Oryctolagus cuniculus: one gene and its partners. The protein of the gene in region 1 binds, or shares a complex with, the protein of each later gene. Links are inferred from orthologs where the notes say so. Each region holds a gene or a part of one and is shown in the gene's direction. Other genes may lie near its edges.

Region 1 (2,798 bases):
CTGCTGGGGAGGGCCTCGTCCTGGGGCCCAGGGGTCGGTTCTTGAGCTCCCGACGTGCACTGACTTCCTTCTAGATCCGACTGTTACGGGCTGTTACACCCCTCTGTCCAGTATCCTTTCTCCACCAAATCCTGGACTGTTTACTGAAGCCCCAGGGCTGTGGCTGAATTCCTGCTTTCTGCCTCTGTCCACCTTTTCAGTGCCTCTAGGACTGCTTGGTTATTCCCCTGTAGTTAACCCTAGGCCACCACCAGTTTGGCACAGCTCCCCACGCAGGCAGAAACTGAGTCTTGCCTGATAGCCCATAGAGTTGGGCACTCAAGCGAGTGCTTATGCTAGAGCTGGGCTGCAGGGAGAGCCCCAGGCAAGTTGGACTAAGGGTCTCCCCCATGGCCTCTCCTAGGATCGAGAGGAGCGGAAGCTGCTGCTGGACCCTAGCAGCCCCCCCACCAAAGCCCTCAATGGAGCTGAGCCCAACTACCACAGCCTGCCTTCCGCTCGCACAGATGAGCAGGCCCTGCTCTCCTCCATCCTCGCCAAGACAGCCAGGTGAGGGTCACAGGCCCGAGCCTGGGGCAGAGTTCCAACGTCCGTCTGTCCATCCGGACTGAAGGCTGGGATAGAGGGAGTTGGCCTAGGACATGGGGAATGGGACAAGGTCATTGAGGAGCTGCGCCTCAAGGCAGGGTGGGGCCACTGGTGTCGGATAGCCCTGGAGTTGGCACCTGGCACTGAGTCATGTTTGTCCCTCTCAAAAACACCTGTCATGTCTTCTCTGTCTCGTCCCCAAAGCAACATCATCGATGTGTCTGCCGCAGACTCCCAGGGCATGGAGCAACATGAGTACATGGACCGGGCAAGGCAGTACAGGTGAGCACTGGCCAGCTGGCTCCCTCAGGCCTTTGGGGCTCTCTCCACCCCAGCCCTGTCCCAGCTTTGCTCAGGCTCACTGTTTGGGTGCAGCCCAGGAGACTGCACACAAATCCCTTGGGCGCCTCAGATGTCCATGTCAGCTTCTGCCCTGTGATAGTCTTGAGAGTGTGCCTAGAGTGAGTTTGTGATCAGCAGAGACCCTGTCTCCCTGTCATCGGCCGGAGGTTAATAGACTTGCCTGGGCTGGGCTGGGGTGGTCAGACTGTGGCCTAACTGCCTTCCCCGCCTTGCTCAGCACCCGCTTGGCCGTGCTGAGCAGCAGCCTGACCCACTGGAAGAAGCTGCCACCGCTGCCGTCTCTAACCAGCCAGCCGCACCAAGTGCTGGCCAGCGAGCCCATCCCCTTCTCCGACTTGCAGCAGGTGAGCTGCCCCTCAGTCTGCCTCCCTTTCCACAGGAGGGTTCGCCCACCCTGCCCCGGGGTAGGTGGAGCAGTGGTGTTAGGAGCGCAGTGGCCTGTGGGCCCTGGCTCACTCCCACCTCGCTCTTTTTAATGTCCTCTTGTCTTTTCGCCCAATCCTTACTCCATCTCACCTCCTTTGTTCTTTTCCCTGGGCCCTTTCCATCCGTGGCTTTCTGTTTGGCCTCCTGTCGCCCATTGCCCCTTGCTCTTCGCTGATTCCCCTCTCACCTGTCTCTGTCCCTCTCCTCCGTCCCCTGTGTCTCAGGTCTCCAGGATAGCTGCTTACGCCTACAGTGCACTTTCTCAGATCCGTGTGGACGCAAAAGAGGAGCTGGTTGTACAGTTTGGGATCCCGTGAAGAGAAGCATCCTTGGACAGCTCTTCTCCTCTCTCCACCCCGCCTCCCCCAGCCCCCAGCCTCACTGCGGCTTATACAGTACCCTAACCTGCTACTAATCACGGAGATGTGGACGAGGAGGAGGAGAGTGAGGCTGGAAGCCTGAGCAAGTGAGGACGGAGCAAGGGAGGGTGGAACCATTTGGGACTGGCTTCAAAGCCCTAGCTAGGGGTGGAGTGGGGGCCAAAAGGACAGGTCCTCGCAGTCACTGGGAAGGTGGAGGTGCCACTGCGGGGGTGGTCACTGGGGCCCAAAGGGTCCCCCTCCCACCCTTCCTCTTGGCCTCAGAGTCACTCCTGTCCCCCTCTCCCTGACTTGGTGCTCACATGCACCTCTAGGGTTTGTGACCAGGGTCTGGATGAGCTTGAATTTGAATGAATTGAGTTTGTCTTTCTAGCACCCTGGGTTTTTACATGTTTGGTCTTTTTTCTTTTTGTTTTTGTTTGTCACCCTCGATAAAGGAAATGTATTCATCTGCGTTGGTTCCGGCCCCTCTGTCCCACCCATCACCCTACTACTTCTGGCTACCCAAGTCTGTGAGCAGTGGGGTGGGGGGCCCCAAGTCTTAGCTGAACCTTGGCCTGGGCTAACCTCAGATTGGATTCGACTGATCTTAAACACAGTCAATGCTGCACAGGCTTGAATCTGAAGCAGCTGTTGACTGTTGAGGGTCCTGCCTCAGGCTCAGTGGGGTCACCGATAGCCACAGGGTTGGGGGTAAACCAAGCTGTCCTGGGAACCCCTGATCTGGAGCCAGCAGGAAATGTTTTTAAGCAGAGATTCTTTGAATCAAATGAGATCTTAGCAGAAGCCTACCATATAAAAGCTAAGGCTGCTGGAAGTAGAGCATTGTGATTGAAGTGGGGAGGTTCTGAGATCACCACCTGTCTTCTGGACCTGCCACACCTGCCACGGGGCCTCTTGGGTGTCTCCTCTGACCTGGCGCTCTGCGAAGAGTTTGGGGATTCAGTGATCGATGCCAACCCCAGGATAACTAAGCTGAAGGGTACAGAGGGACCCTTCCTAAGGCCTTGTGGGAAGCCCAGTCTCCTGTCCTCGCTGCTG
Region 2 (4,222 bases), on another chromosome or scaffold:
AGTGCACGCTGGCACTACCTCTGTGCCAGCAATTCACGTCCATCAAGTCTTAAAAACAACCATATCCTTTGGCCCGGTAATTCCACTTCTAGTAGCTTACCAGGAAAATTTTAAACTGCACAGAGATTTAGCCAAGAGGATATTCACCCAGCAAGCTAGTATCCAAACTGTACATTAACATGGAGTTGGTCAAGTCAGTTAAAGCACATACGGCTGAGACATGGAATATTTTGCAATTAATAAAAACTAAGTATTTATTTTTAAATATTTTATTTATTTGAAAGAGCTGCAGAGAGAGGTAGAGACAGGGAGAGAGGTCTTCCATCCGCTGGTTCACTCCCCAGATGACTGCAATGGCGGAGCTGTGCCGATCCAAAGTCAGCAGCTTCCTCCGGGTCTCTCTCGCCAGTGCAGGGGCCCAAGGACTTGGGCCATCTTCTACTGCTTTCCCAGGCCATAGCAGAGAGCTGGATCGGAAGTGGAGCAGCTGGGGCTCAAACCGGCGCCCATATAGGATGCTGGTGCTTCAGGCCAAGCCTTTAACCCACTGTGCCACAGCACCGGCCTCAAAACTAAGTATTTATTAACACGAACAGACATTTATGCTAAAACCTGTGCAAAGGCTCAGCAAAGGAATCATGTCCAATATTTTTTTTTTTTGCTTAGAAAAGAACAAAAGCCATTTAGAGCATACCTCTGCAAATACATCCACCTGAAAGGGACTGCAGTCACTTCTGGCAGTGGAAGTGTGGGAAGTGTGGCTGGTTTCCTTCCTTTATTTTTAATCTTGGCTTTGACAGCTTGTAAAGCTGTTTTCAGGGAGTGTCACCCCAGTCCTCCTTATGCGTTAGGTATCACACGGCACCTTCTGGCCCCAAACCTTCCTGAGCCCTGATCACAGGAAAAGCAGTGTCTTAGTTAAAATTCCAACACGTTTTGCCAGCGCCCCGCTCCGGGTTTTACCCGCGGGCCACCTCGTCCTTTGTCCCGGGTGTACGCCCTTCAAGGAGCCCGTGGCTCCTCTGGCCACTTGCTCCATCCCGCCGGGCCCGCAGGGTTACTGTCAAACACCATCCTGTCCTTGGGTCTCGGAGTCGTTTGCACTGAGACCAACGGACAAGAACCATTGGGCCAGACTGCAGGCCAGGAACTGAGGCGCTGGGGCCTGGCTGCAGACTCTCACCCCGCGCAGCCCGAACCCTCAGGGAGACGGGAGCACGGCTCGGCGCCGTCTTCCGGGAGAGAACTCGGACGTGGCGCCGCGGCGAATTTTGTCCCATCGGCGGCGCCGTCGCGGGCAGCGGAAGGCTCGCGTCACGTGACGGAGGCCCGCAGTGAAGCGGAACGCGACGGCTCCGGGGGCCCGGGCGGGGGTGCGCTGCCGGCCGGCGGGATGGAGGCGACCTTGGAGCAGCACCTGGAGGACACGTGAGCAGTGCGGGCCTCTCCGGCCAGTTCTGAGGTCGCAGCGCGGGTTACGTGCGGGACAGCGGGCGAGACCCGCGAGCGCCGGAGGGCGGCTCGGGGACGCCGTGCCACCCCAGAAGGCTGGCCGAGGGGACGGGGCCGGTGGCCCGAAGTTAATATCCCGCTGGGGCCCGCAGCCTTCCTCTCGGGGCGCCGTCCGCAGGATTAGGTCGTTCAGGAGGGTGTCGCAGGTGTGCCGTCGGCCGCACCGGGTACACACACACACAGATCGTGTGTGCGATCTGTCATTTGGTGTTTAAGGAAATACCTGTTCCTTAAATGTGTTAACGTCTGTGTAAACTCAAAGCTGCAAAAGTCTAAGGTGTACGTGCAGACACCACCCTCCCAGCCACTCCCTCGTCATCCCACTTCCCTTCCGGGAGGCAACGCCTCTTAGTTTGTCCAGTTGTCTTACCTGAGCTGTTACGTAAAGCGTGCGGTTAGAACGGCGAAAAACCCCGCATCCGAACTGTTGCGTGCGCCTAGGCTTCCCAAACCCAGCAGATACTCATTCTTCTCTGCAGCTGGCTTCAATTACTACTTTAATTTTGCTCGGGGTTGGGGAGTGTGGTAGGAAAGAGGTCGAGAAACCCATTTAAAGCACTTAGGCAATGCCTGATAGCATGGCAGGCCCACGGGCGTCATAACCGTTTGCATCCACTTTCTCAAGCCCTCTGCCTCACCTCTCCTGTGTTTCTGGAATTAGGATGAAGAACCCGTCCATTGTTGGAGTCCTGTGCACAGACTCACAAGGCCTCAATCTGGGCTGTAAGTATCTCCTGCCAACCCTTTGCTGGACTGCGCCACACCTGGTGTTGACCAAATAGTATTTGAGTCATTTCAAACTGGGCCTAGACAGGACTCGCCCATGAGAGCTGTGAGCATGTGCTGAGCCATATGCGAGGCTCCACCTGCCTTGCTGCACTTTCCACAGTATCCCTGCATGATGGGTGGGTGCAGTGTTCTAGTCCAAGTACACCAACAGTGAAAATAGGAGATTCTGAGTTTGGCACAGCTGAGTTCAAACACTCCCCCCACCCCCACCCCGTTCTTTCATTTGCTAGTTGTGTGAACTTGGGCCTAAATGAACCTTTCAGGAACTTTTTTTTTTTTTTAATATTTATTTATTTATTTGAAAGAATTAGAGAGAGGGAGAGACAGAGAGATCTTGCATCCTCTGAGTCATTCCCCAGATGGCTATAATGTCCAGGGCTGGGCCAGGCCAAAGCCAGAATCATCCAGGTCTCCCACAAGAGTGGCAGGGACCCAAACACTTGGGCGATCTACTGCTTTCCCCAGACCTTTAGCAGGGAGCTGCATCAGAAATGGAGCAGAAGGACACAAACCGCTGCCAATATGGGATGCCGGCATCAGAGATGTGTCATGGCACCGGCCTCCATGGCATAGCTTCACTGGGCTCTTGTTTACTGAGACTAGTGCTTACAGAATTGCGTGCTCTTCCTTGAGTTCCAGGTACCATTCTAATGGTAACTCACGCACTCCTCCTAACAACCAACGTGAGGCACAGAGGTAAAGTAGCTTGCCTAGGGTCATAGGGCGGTAATTGGCTGAGCTAGAAATGGTGTCAGGGTCCAAAGCCTCTTCAATCACAATGCCGTGAGATTATATAATATGCTTAAGACAGTGCACACCCAGATGGAACATGCTCAGAGAATGACAGCAATCACAGATGAGGAAATGATAGATAAGGAAAATGATAGATAACTAGAGCATTTAGTTAATGTCAGAACTAGTAAACCCAGGACACGTCTTAGTGCAAGAATTTTTAAAGCTCTGAATTTTTGCTGCAAGGGTAACAAAGCGGTAATCTATAACTCAGTTGCTTGGAGAAAAAAGGCAAATGTTTTGACGCTTTTGCCAGACTCACTAATGGAAATACTGAAATGAAGTGTGAAACTCTATTAGAGTTGCTTCAAGAAAGCTTCAAGGTGCAAAAGATGGCGCCGTGCTGGTGAGTTGCTGTCAGGAAATCCCTCTGCCCACCAGCCACAGGCACGGTTCTGCTTGGCCTGCCTTCATACACACATACAGGACACAGTAAACTCAGCAGTTACATTTTGTGCTTGGGACCCAAGGTTCCGTTATCATATACAAGCTAAAGCAGTCAGGAGTAGAAGACAATCGTGTGGGCATTTGAAAACAGCCAAGTAGCTATGCTAGCAGAAATAACTGCTCACAGAATGTTCACACGTGCCATCGAGGAGATCTGAGACTGCGTGACTCCTCAGGAGAGGAAATCCGCTTTCCCATGAGGAATGAATTAGCTTCAGCAAGCCTCTTGCGCGTATTGACTGCTTTTTGTCAATCTCACCTCTAAGCTTTTTGTTTTCGCAAGGTTCCTATCCAGTGAATTTATGGTTTTCAGAGTGACCTGAATTACAGCGTCCTGGTATGTTGAAGCTGTTTACAGATGGTGATAGGTGTGTCAGTTATAGCTTACTGATTTATTGATTTTTGTTGCCCGGCTTTCTCACTGATGTAACCACTGAGCGTCAGGGAACAGTCACTTCATGTAAGCACCAAACTTAAAGGACCAGGACCTGAACCTCCTCTTTGTGAATCATTCAGTGAGATACTGTTGCTCCAAACTTACTTGTGGCTCACCAGGTGCCCTGATACCATCGTTCTCTCTCTCTCTCAGGCCGTGGGACGCTGTCAGATGAGCATGCTGGAGTGATCTCTGTTCTGGCGCAGCAAGCAGCAAAGCTAACCTCTGACCCCACCGACATTCCTG
Region 3 (4,109 bases), on another chromosome or scaffold:
TCCAGCTGTTTTCAAAGTCAGCTTTGCAGGGACCCCTCTTCTGGAATTCAGTCATTTTATACTGCTGGGAGAGTTCAATTCTCAGTCCCTGCAAAGCCCAACCCAACCCAACGCACACTCCGAGTAGAAAAGGCGCACTTGCTAATAAGCAAAGGGAGCTTCCAAATCCCTCTCTTCCAACCAGATGGCCCATCCTGAAGCCCCGCCTATGTGAAATTCTGGAGCAACTACAGGGGGGTGGCGAACGCAGGCAAGAGTCCCTCATTCAACAAAACCTTATGGAGCACCTACTGCACACTGTGCAAATCTCAGAAGAGCTGAAAACCAAGTGTGACCACCTCGGGCTTAAAGAGCAGGAAGGATCTAGGGCAGAGAACATCCTCCACCCCACCCCGCGCCCTGCGTTCGGCGGACTCTGGGCGTTCTCCGGGCCACACAGGAGACGCGGGCGCTCTCCGCCTGCCCCCTACCCGCTCTACGGGTCCAGCACCTAGCCGGGGCCGCCACTGCGCCTCGGCGCCTCGAACCCCGGCCAGTTCCAGGGGCGCACACTCCCCTCAGCCCCAGGGTGCTTCCCGGGGGCCGGCGCAAGGTGTCCCCTTACCCACTCTTCCACCACGCCCCCAGCCCCGGCTCCAGTGCAAAGCCCGCTCCCCCCAGCACGCGCCACACTCCCCCAGACCCGCCCGCGCAGGGCGCCCCATATCCGCCTCTCCTGCCCACGCGAGTCCCCGCCGGCCCCCGCCCTCCTCCCCGGGGCCGTCCCGGACGCCAGGCAGTCACGGAGGCCCCCCGCCCCGTTTCTTCGTAGCCCCCTCCTCCGCACTCCCTCTCCGCTCCCCCCCCGCCCGCCGCTAGCCCTACTACCTCCTTGACCGAGGCTCGATCGCAGATCACAATTTCCTCCTTGTCCTTGGGGGTCTTGACGGTGACCCGAATGGGGGGCCTCGTCTCGGCCCCGCTCGGCTCCGCCATGCCGCCGCCGCCACCCGGCCGCCCGCCAGCCCGCCCGGCTCCTCCTCCTCCTCCTCCTCCCCGCCCGCCGGCCGGCCCGGCTCGGCTCGGCGCCTCCAACACTCCCCTCTCCCCTCCCCTCGCCGCGGCTCCGCCGCCCCCTCCGGACCCGCCGCAGCCACAGCGCCCCGGGCGGACTGGGGGGGCCACTGCAGCGGGGTCCGCCCAGGGCCCGGCCTGGGGTCCGGCCGCCGGGACGCGGCCTGGGTGGCGAGGGCCTCTGGGCGCGGAGGGCGTGTCCTTCACGGCGGGGGCCTGCGAGAGACCCCCGCCCGGCCCGAGCCTCGCCGCCGTGCCCTGCGACCCCGGGCCGCCCCCTCCCCTCCGCGGTTACTCCTGCTCCCGGACAAAGGACTTTCTGCGTGGCCGCTTTTTCTGTGATAACTTGGTCTTCCCTGGGCGGTGCAAGTTCCTTTCCAGGCCTGGGGCCTCGCTCCACCGGGAGTCTGAATTTTCTCCCCGCGGGACGTCCACTTAAAGCCTCCACTCAGGGAGTGACCCTGTTGCTCCCGATGCCCACGGCCTGAATGGCCTGTTCTGTACGGTGCGAGAACTGGGTGTTGCCGGCGTCACCGTTCCAGCCTCGGTTTCAAGAAAACAGAATCTCTTGCCTCATCCCACAGAATAGTGCCTAACGTAGAAAACCGCTCTGAGAAGTAACCCAGGCTGTGCCCGACAAATACGAGGATTTATTACTACTATTATCGCTTCGTGAGTAGCCAAGCGGCCATGATGACCTCTCTCCGCCAAGGGGTTAAACGTCCTCCCAACCCTGCCACATTGCCCTTCCACTCCCGCTCTTTTCCCCCACGACCGCGTGGTCTAGCTGAGGAGGCGAACTACAGTTCCCAGTGTGCCTTGCGAGACCACAGGAACTACGATTCCCAGTCCCTCCGCGGCTGAGCGGGGTGGGGCCAGAGCAGCTGTCACGGGGTCGGAAAACTACAACTCCCAGGGCGTTCCCGAGCGGGTCGCTGCACTGCCGGAAGCCGCAGGCCGCGGCTAAGCGGGACGCCGCTCGGAGGATCTGGGATTTAAAGGCTGGGTGACGAGCCGCTGGCATGCTGCGTCCCAAGGCGTTGACCCAGGTGCTAAGCCAAGCCAACACCGGAGGCGTCCAGAGCACCCTGTGAGTGCGGGCCGTGGACCCGTGCGGCGGCAGCGGAGTGGGGCGGGGAAGGGAGGCGGCCGAGGGGACCCGCAGCTGACCGAGAGCGCGCCTCTGGAAAGGGAAGCCAGCGTGCTGGGGGCTCGGGACGCCTTCCGGGACACGCTCAGCTCAGCCCCTTGCCTCGTAGGAGCGCCAGTGATACGGGCGTCGGGGCGGGGACCCAGGCGTTTGAGCATGTCGACATCCCATCCTTGTCTCTCGCCAGGCTGCTGAATAACGAGGGATCGCTGCTGGCCTACTCGGGTTATGGAGACACGGACGCCCGGGTCACCGCGGCCATCGCGAGTAACATCTGGGCAGCTTATGACCGAAACGGGAACCAGGCGTTTAACGAAGACAACCTTAAATTCATCCTCATGGACTGCATGGTACGGAGAGAGGGGAGCCAGACTTCCTCCATCCACCAAGGGGATTCCCAGGGGGCGAACTGGCCCCCATCCTGGATGATTGTTGGGGCAGGGACAGAATCTCCGAGAGATTGCTAAGAGTTGGTCCTGCAGCAGCGTTTGCGATAGGCAGGCCCGGGAGCACCCAGCGGTGGTGAGGAAGGAGCCCCGGACCTCAGGTCTGACTTGGGTTCTGGTCTCTGCCATGCACTTAGCAGTGGTGAAACCTTGGGTAAGTCACTTCCCTCATCTCCAAGCAGGAGGTGATGAGCCATCCTCCCCCACCTCGGGACTGTTGACAATCAAATGAAAGAATGGGTCTACACCGTAGAGAGCTGTTCAGACGCAGAGCGTGTCCACCCAGCGCCACCGACTTGCAGGGCCATGGCGGAGTCTCCAGACCCGGACAGGAGAAGTGGCCATTACACTGTGACTTTCTTGGGAACAGGGACTGCTTCGCTCCTCTCTGAATCTCTTAGGTGACGACCATTTAGGTCCTGCAGGACTTTTAGGACTAGAGGGGGCATACAGACAGGACAGACAAAAACCCCATTCCTGGTGGAGCTTACAACCTTACATGTGTTTTAAAATAAGCAGACTATCTGGTCTGGACCGTATGAAATGCAATGGAGAAAAACAAAGCAGGGAAGTAAGAGGGTATGGAGGGCGTGTGTTAGGGCCAGTGTCACTGAAAAGGCGATGTTTGATCAAAGGACAGAGGGTGGTGGGGGTCCAGTCATGTGGCCCTCTGACAGAGCAGCAAGTACCAAGGTCCTGTGACAGAGTGGGGCCTGGACTAGGATCAGCAAGCTTGGCCTGAGTCGCGGGAGGGTAGCAGGAGATAGGACCAGAAAGACAGGGGCTGTGGTGCCTGGTTCCCAGCACACAGCGGACACCTAGTAAAGGTTTGCAGAACCAAAATGAACAGATTGCAAGGGTGCGTGCACCAGGAAGGGTCTCCACTGTAACTTGGCTGCCTGCCCCCCCTGACCTCACCACTGCCATTTTGGCTCAGCAGGTGACTCCTATGGGTGCCTAGCTGGAGCTGGTGCTATTTAAAGCAGTAACTTTCAAATGTGACTGCAACCCAGACGAGACATACATTTTAAGTCAGGAACCCTCGGGGAAGGCGGGTCCTGTGAGTGTCAAACAGAACATCCCATCCCATCATATCCCCTACCAGGAGGGCCGTGTAGCCATCACCCGCGTGGCCAACCTTCTGCTGTGTATGTATGCCAAGGAGACCGTGGGCTTCGGCATGCTCAAGGCCAAGGTGTGTACATGTCCATCCTGCCGCAGCTGTGGGCCCGCTGTTGTGCTCCGTCACTGTGTCCACTCCCACCCACAGCACCGCACCGCTCTCAAGTCCTTCCGTCAGCTCAATTAGTGTCTGATGTGGGCAGGAGGGAGGTGGGAGTGGTTGAGGGGCGGCCTTGGGAGTAGAACTGGGATCCGTCAAGTGGCAGGCATCTGCGACACTGACTTCTTCCCCCCCTCTTGCAGGCCCAGGCCTTGGTGCAGTACCTGGAGGAGCCCCT

The links.
Region 2: LAMTOR1 (region 1) and LAMTOR5 share a complex: the UniProt entries of both Homo sapiens proteins name them as parts of the ragulator complex. The link is inferred for Oryctolagus cuniculus from reciprocal best matches to the Homo sapiens genes LAMTOR1 and LAMTOR5.
Region 3: LAMTOR1 (region 1) and LAMTOR2 share a complex: the UniProt entries of both Homo sapiens proteins name them as parts of the ragulator complex. The link is inferred for Oryctolagus cuniculus from reciprocal best matches to the Homo sapiens genes LAMTOR1 and LAMTOR2.

What each region holds. Positions count from the first base shown.
Region 1 is NC_091432.1:63,579,186-63,581,983, reverse strand, and holds the end of LAMTOR1 (ragulator complex protein LAMTOR1), read left to right. Parts: intron 1-403; coding exon 404-549; intron 550-792; coding exon 793-870; intron 871-1,168; coding exon 1,169-1,295; intron 1,296-1,601; coding exon 1,602-1,694; 3' UTR 1,695-2,206; downstream 2,207-2,798. UniProt on the Homo sapiens protein: Key component of the Ragulator complex, a multiprotein complex involved in amino acid sensing and activation of mTORC1, a signaling complex promoting cell growth in response to growth factors, energy levels, and amino acids.
Region 2 is NC_091438.1:59,944,487-59,948,708, forward strand, and holds the start of LAMTOR5 (ragulator complex protein LAMTOR5), read left to right. Parts: upstream 1-1,296; 5' UTR 1,297-1,393; coding exon 1,394-1,428; exon of another isoform or gene 1,429-2,173; coding exon 2,174-2,235; exon of another isoform or gene 2,236-4,129; coding exon 4,130-4,222. UniProt on the Homo sapiens protein: As part of the Ragulator complex it is involved in amino acid sensing and activation of mTORC1, a signaling complex promoting cell growth in response to growth factors, energy levels, and amino acids.
Region 3 is NC_091438.1:42,634,814-42,638,922, reverse strand, and holds the start of LAMTOR2 (ragulator complex protein LAMTOR2), read left to right. Parts: upstream 1-1,217; 5' UTR 1,218-2,075; coding exon 2,076-2,143; intron 2,144-2,390; coding exon 2,391-2,553; intron 2,554-3,754; coding exon 3,755-3,844; intron 3,845-4,074; coding exon 4,075-4,109. Other genes in the region: UBQLN4 (ubiquilin-4), read right to left, coding at 868-975. UniProt on the Homo sapiens protein: As part of the Ragulator complex it is involved in amino acid sensing and activation of mTORC1, a signaling complex promoting cell growth in response to growth factors, energy levels, and amino acids.